Coturnix japonica: one gene and its partner. The protein of the gene in region 1 purifies or fractionates together with the protein of each later gene. This does not show direct contact. Links are inferred from orthologs where the notes say so. Each region holds a gene or a part of one and is shown on either strand. Other genes may lie near its edges. The genes, in order: KLHL15 and NUDCD3.

What was found.
Region 2: the proteins of KLHL15 (region 1) and NUDCD3 purify together in Homo sapiens (co-immunoprecipitation; 3 studies listed by BioGRID and IntAct, with this or other methods). This does not show direct contact. The link is inferred for Coturnix japonica from reciprocal best matches to the Homo sapiens genes KLHL15 and NUDCD3.

Annotation. Positions count from the first base shown.
Region 1 is NC_029516.1:107,470,555-107,474,374, forward strand, and holds part of KLHL15 (kelch-like protein 15), read right to left. Parts: intron 3,813-3,820; 5' UTR 3,806-3,812; coding exon 3,101-3,805; intron 1-3,100. UniProt on the Homo sapiens protein: Substrate-specific adapter for CUL3 E3 ubiquitin-protein ligase complex.
Region 2 is NC_029537.1:91,116-94,660, reverse strand, and holds the end of NUDCD3 (nudC domain-containing protein 3), read left to right. Parts: intron 1-2,391; coding exon 2,392-2,580; intron 2,581-2,699; coding exon 2,700-2,810; 3' UTR 2,811-2,934; downstream 2,935-3,545.

The DNA of each region.
Region 1 (3,820 bases):
AGAGCCCATTTAAGAGAAGTAGGAACCCCTAACCTTAACCACTAGGCACTTCTTGTTCTAAACTTCAGCACATGAAGTTGTAGAAAATATTCGACATGATTCACTAGACATGGAGGTGAGAAAAACACCGAAAAACAAGTGCTGAATATCTCTAAAGACAAAATCACAGTGACATAAAATTATGGCATCTTTCAAAAATGATGATCTGCTGAGCACATACTCAAAGATGGACTTATTAATATGCATTTCATCCTACCTCTGAAGTACAGGTTGATACTTCCAGTGGTTAATACATCTCTGATTTAAACTGGGAATTTATAAATCAGCATGAACTAGTTGTAACAAATCCTACACAAAAAGTATTAGAAAAAACTCCCAGTTTTAAGGACAAAGGGTTTTGAAACAACACTGTCATCTGAGTTATACACAGAAGCTAAATGAAGATTAATGAAAATATGAAAGAAAGGAACAACATGGTCATGGTACAGTAACAGAGAGAGAAACTCAACTTTCCTCAAGACTTACAGAGCTGTAGATAGGTTTCGAATAAGACCAATGTAACATGTGCGGTGAAACGTGCTTCCTAGCCATAAAACTCTCTTTTTCAATCATTTCCCCAAATCCTTCCATTTTCCTCACACATCTATGTTAAGGGCCAAGCAACAACAGAAGTACCTATTCCTACCTAAGAGGCAGTTCTTCCAGGGCAGTTCAGAGTAAGCACACAGGCTACACCTTCCCTTGTGCATCCCAGGTTCGTGTCAGTCTTGAAGTATTAACCCAGTCACTCATCACTTCCCTTTGAAAAAGACAAGCCATCCCTCTTAGATTGTAAATCTCTCTTAAAAATGCTGTAAGAAACAGAATGGCTTAAAATGCAAGAAGTGTCCTTTCTGTGACATGTAAAATTAAGTTATGTAAGTTATTTATGTCCCAGTATAATGACAGGCATCTTAGAAATGCCTATTAGAAAGGTTACATAAGAATACATATGACAAGTCACTGAGTGTAATTCAGTTTGCTCAACTGTAAGTCAGCCTTAGACTGTACTTGGTATATTCACACAGGATTTGTTTCTGTGCTTCAGCAAAGGATGAATTCTTATCTGTTCTCTGATCTCCAAAAAAGCACTGTGACTAGTATTTTCCCCTTTCTACATAAACGGATGTGTTTCCTTCAAGTTACTGACAGAACAGTTAACAAACATGCTCTTTCATTAAATAAAGGAAAATTTAAAAGCACGGTCATGTTTTTACATTAGCTTCAACTGCAGATGTCCTTTGTCACTGGTCATCCTGGGTTACTCAGCGCTCTTCAACCTAGCTGCAGTGCCAAATGACATGCATGTTTAATTCTACTCCCCTCTGCTCAGTGTAGAACAGTCCCACAGTAGAAACTGGACTGGTTTCACTCCATTGTCTCATGCAATTAATGGATAGGACATTCACAGGAAAAAGTTTTTACGGGTGACCATGTAGCCTGGGATGCTGAAAAAGACATCTCTCCTTATGTCATAGCTGCTTGTAGCTGCCAAGAGAAACTGCAAGAAGCTCTGTGTGCAGAATAGACATCAGTGATACCAAAACCAACTTCAGAAGTTACACCTAAATAGAACCCTAAAAAAGCACAACACCCATTCTATCACTTGCGCTTGCAGAAATTTCACTGAAAACAGTTTGATACTTGAACTTCTATTCCAAAAATTCAAAGAACTGAAATAGACTCTTTCACATGAATTTAACCTATTAGATTGACTATAAGAATATCTGATGACATCGGTTTTCCTAATGAAGACCTTAAATTATGCAATGAAGTCAAAGTTTTATTACAAGCAAGACACTACACAGCATCTTGCAGATTCCAGCTCCTACTAGGAATCCTAGGAATCATTTCTAACACGATATAAACATCACGTTAGTGTTCTAAAACAATTCTAGGTAATTAGATTTATTTTATGTCCACAGGCTAATAAAGGGTTGTCAATGGAAATTAAGTCTACTCAATCCACACGCACACAAAAAGTTAAAAAAAAAAAAAAGAAAAAAAGAATGTAATAACTCAGTCTCAAATAATTAATAGCTTTTATAATTATAATACAGTCTTATCTGTGTATAGATACCAAAAATGTATGAAAATAATGGTAAGTAGCCCAACAAAATACACAGGGCATTAAATCCTACTACTTCACCAAGAGGTGGAAAATACAGAATTTAAAAGTTCACCTGAACACACAAGATTAATAACAACGACATAACATAACAGCACAAGCTGAACAACTCCTAACTTGAATACAGTTAGTATTACAGTTAGTAGCCTGTGCAAGTGGCTTACAAGCTTTGTAGTTCTCTACCCATGTCAGATGTTCCCAAGTTTCTCACAAACCAGAGAGCAACATTTTTTGTCTATTCTTCAACAGAACAGTAGAAAAAGCAAGTTCTCATTTAACCTCTTAACACATACAATCATGAGTTGAATTTTTTATCACCTCTTACAAAGACTCCTCTGTTATTTAAAGTAAGTCATTACATTCCACACTGTCAAACACTTCTGATCGTATTATATGCCTTGAGTAAAATCAAATGGACGTCTAACTTTTCAGGATCAGGGCTAATTTCTAACTGCTTTGTAATAGCACAAGTACTGAAGATACAATAAAAACAAAAACACTGCAGGTTTAACAGCAGATGTCAACTTTCATTTGTAAAGAAGAAAAACGTACTTAAAAGACACAAGATCTACAGTCAGCATGTTTTGATTATATCAGTAACATCTGTCATGATATATGCTCTACAAAATCTCTGGGAAGCAAGAAACAACTTGCAGAAAACAAAGAATGACTGAAATAAAACCTGATACGTGACCTTGTTTTAAGATGTCCTTTCCATACGAAGTTACTTAAACACATGTGTTACAACCTACCTGTTGTAACCTCCATCCACTGTACATACTATTGCCTAACAATCAGATGGCATTACTTCTAGACGCTTGTTTTCTACGGGTCTACTGCTCCTCCTAACAGGACTGGGAATCTTATCTGTTTAACAACATGCTGCCCTAGCTAAATGATGAATTCTGCCTACTGCTTTTCAAATGCACCAACCTTCTCAAAAACACTGGATGGTGTCATCAAACAAAACCTGATGTTCTGAATGATGGTGTCCGTATGCCTCCAGCGTCTTCTATCATGGCGCAGCCAGGCCTGAACAGCTTCATACAGCTCTATCTCTGGAAACCTGCTCAGATGATCATTATCCAAGTAAGACATGAGCTTTTCAAAGCTCAGATATGAAAGGAAGTCAGGTCTGGACATGAGCGGCACAAAATTCTCTAGCAGGAAAGAGTCCAATTTTTCCCTGACTCCTTCGATGTTTACACCAAAATCATCCAGAAGTCTCATAATTTCAGCACAGTTTTCTAGGCAGATTTTAGCTAAGAGAAAAGAGCAGCAAAATTTTACCACCTCTATAAGCTGGACATACATGGCAGCCTGAAGGATTTCATGAACAGTGTTCATACTCAGTTCAATAGTTCCGTAATACATGAATTGGAGGACATGGCTGAAGCCTGTAGCTGTCAGACCTTTCAAATGGATTTTGTCCTGATCTCGTTCTCGCATGTCAGCTGTGAACATAATCCTGAAGTAATCGCTCTGGGTGGCAAGCAGTGCTTTATGAGCCTGAAATTGGTGGTCTTCAATGACAAGTGTGACATCAAGGAGCAATCCCTCCTCATACAGTGCTCTGAATCCAGCAGAGACACTGGTGTCATGGATGGAGGAGCTAAACCCTTCCACGTCCCCTGCCATGAATCACCTGAGGAA
Region 2 (3,545 bases), on another chromosome or scaffold:
GGTGCTTCAGCTGCTGGGAGGGAACTGTGAGCACTGGGCTTGTCCTGAGCATCTTCGTGCAGGACGTGTGAGCTGCCGGGGGCAGCAGCCTCCAGTGAGATGGGGGCACAATGAAGCCATGCTCAGTGTGCCAGCGCTGTGCTCGCTGTCTGGACGGTGCCTGTCCATTCCCCTCACTCCCAGATCTGGCCGAGCCCTCGGCACATTTCATGTCCTTGGGTGCTTTCATGGCTCTTTGGCACCCAGATGAGGCAGAACCCCGTGGGCTGTGGCTGTGGAGCTGCCTGCTCTGCCCGGCGCCGCAGCCCGGCCGTAATCCCCGTGCTCTCCCCTCGCTGTCACGCCTGCTCACTTGTCAAAAGGGAGATGAAAATAGCTTCGCAGGAGCCGTATTTAGAAGGCTCTGCTGGGTGTTGTGCACAACACGTTGGGGATTATTTTTGTTGTTGAGGAGCTTTTCCCCCATTCCCTCTTTCTCTCCTCTCCAACGTTTGTGATCCACGCTCAGGCTTTGGTCACCCAGTTCTGTCTCGAGCAGCTCTTACATCCTTTGCCTGTCATCTCCTGAGCGGGGAGTTAATAACAATCTGTGGCACTCCCCGACCTCCATGTGCCGTTGGAAGTTTGCCCTGGTGCCCCTCAGCAGCTCCTGTCCCCCGCTGGCTCCCAGGGCCGCTGCTGCCATGTCGGAAGGGAAGCAGGTGGCAGGAGGTGGCTTTTCCAAGTCCTGCTTCCACCCTTTGGCAGCATCCCATCCCTCCAGATCTGACGCAGCACTCGGGATCCAGGAGGGAACCCATCACTATGGCAAAGCGCAGCACACGCAGCGAAGGACTGGGCCCCTCCTCGCAGGATATGGGGACATGGGAGGTGACACGGTGACGCTCGGTGCTGCAGCACACAGGTCTCCCTGCAGCCCATCCTGCCCCAGCCCGTGGCTTCATACAGCTCCAGCATCTGCCGGTCCCAAAGCAGAGATGTGCAACCTGAGCATGAGGCACCTGGAACCCGATCCTCCCTGCAGCTCCGAGCTGGGGCAGAGCACAAGAGCAACGTAATCAGGTCAAGATTTATCCGTCCTTGTGGTGAAGCCCTGTTCCCTTGGCAGAGCTCCGCAGGGTTCCAGTGTGCAGCCACCTTCCATGGCCACCTCCCAGGGCACAGCACGGCTGGAGCAGCGCTCATGCAAGGAACCGACCCCGCACCACCAACCAAACCCCAAACCCCAAACCCACAGCTCAGCAGCTTTGTGACCCTGCCGGCACTTGGAGGTTGTTAGGAAGTGGGGCTGCAGACTCAGGGGGGGGTCCCACTTTCGGTCCTGTCCCCCTGGAATCCGGGGGCAGAGCAAACCCCCCCCACGCGCAAGGTGGGCCGCAGAGGTTCATTGGGACTGTTTGCAAAGCTCTCAGAGCGGCGGTGATGCACAGAAACGCTGCCGAGGAAATGAATAATTCTGCCTTCCCAGCAGGGTGGGAGCGGGACGTGGTAAATAAAGCCGGGCTGGGAGGAGGAGAGGGGCCGTGGGCTGCAGCTCTGCGGGGGGCTTCACACCCACTGCCAGCCCTGCCGTGTGGGCTGTGTGCCCGCTATGGGGCCGCGCACCCCATGGCTGTGTGCCCGCTATGGGGCCACGCACCCCATGGCTGTGTGCCCGCTATGGGGCTGTGGACCCCATGGCTGTGTGCCCGCTATGGGGCCACGCACCCCATGGCTGTGTGCCCGCTATGGGGCTGTGGACCCCATGGCTGTGTGCTCCTAGTGCTCAGTGCTGGGTGAGCACCCAGGGTTTGGCCTGACAGAAGGTGCTTCGCTGCTGTGCTGGAACCCACCGCCCTCAGCTCGCTGCGCTGTTGTGCCAGCACTGCTCTCCCAGGAGGACTGAGCACAGCCACCCCCTGCACCAATATCGGCTCCCAAACCTTCATGGCTGCCCCCGTTCTGTGGTTGGGCTGGGGACAACGGGACGTCCCCCCTCCCTTGGGCTGCCCCACCAGGGATGGAGGATGGCTGTGATGCTCTGATGTCTGCACAGGCCATGGCTACAACTGTGTCCCCTGACCTGGTGACGTGTCCCCATGGTGGGACATGGGCTCAGGGTGTTGTATCCCATGGTGGGACATGGGCTCAGGGTGATGTGTCCCATGGTGGGACATGGGCTCAGGGTGATGAATCCCATGGTGGGACATGGGCTCAGGGTGATGTATCCCTATAGTGGGACATGGGCTCAGGGTGTTGTATCCCCATGGTGGGACATGGGCTCAGGGTGATGTGTCCCATGGTGGGACATGGGCTCAGGGTGATGTGTCCCATGGTGGGACATGGGCTCAGGGTGCTGGATGGGTTTGGGGTGACACATCCCCCACTCCCTGAGCCATCCATTGTCCCCAGATCAACCTGAACAAGGGGGACGAGTACTGGTGGAACGCCGTCCTGGAGGGCGAGGAGCAGATTGACATCGACAAGATCAACAAGGAGCGCTCCATGGCCACGGTGGACGAGGAGGAGCACGCCGTGCTGGACCGCCTCACCTTCGACTACCACCAGAAGCTGCAGGGCAAACCGCAGAGCCACGAGCTGGTGGGTGCCCCCAGCCGGGAGCCAGGCCCTGTCCCCCTGGGGGTCCTCAATGTCCCCCTGGGGCAGGGGTGGTGGGTGTGGGGCAGCCCCACGGTGACAAACCCCCCTGTTCTTTGCAGAAGGTGCACGAGATGCTGAAGAAGGGCTGGGACACCGAGGGCTCCCCGTTCCGCGGCCAGAAGTTCGACCCGTCCATGTTCAACATCTCGCCCGGCGCCGTGCAGTTTTGACCCCGGTGTAAGCGGGACAAGCGGCGACGTGGGGAGGGGAGACCCCAGACCCGGTGTGGGATGCCCTGTGCCCACAGCCGGCATCAGCACAGCACGGGGGTGGCATCCCATCCCATCCCATCCCTGTTCATCCATCACCATCCATCCCATCCCTGTTCACCATCACCATCCCCATCCCTGTTCACCATCACCATCCCATCCCATCCCATCCCATCCCATCCCATCCACCTCCCATATCCATCCCATCCGCATCCCATCCCATCCCATCCCATCCACCCACACCGGCATCCAGCACCGGGCCCTTCTCTCTCCTCTCCTCTCCTCGCGCTGGCGACGGCTCCGTTGTTTTCAGGAATAGACGGAGCTCGTTGGTGACATAATTATTATTTTTGGTGGTTGAGGATATTTCTGGTTTTTGCTTCTTTTGCTCATCCCCCCCCCCGGCTGCTCCCTCAGTGGTGGCTCACGCCCTGCTCTGCCCCACGGGCTCCACGCGTGTCCCAGCCCCGGGTCGGCACGGCAATAAAACCTTGTGCCCCGCGCGGGGCTCTGCGAGCCGCTTCGGGGACACGGGTGGGGGCGATGCCGCCTATGGGGGCGATGCTCCGTCACTTGTGGGGCGCAGCTGGTCCACGAGGGCAGCGCTGCATGGGGCACCATGGGAACCATAGGGACACTGGGGTTCTGTGGGGGCTCTGCGGTGTCCCAGCCCCACTCGAGGGCCGCCGCCCGTTC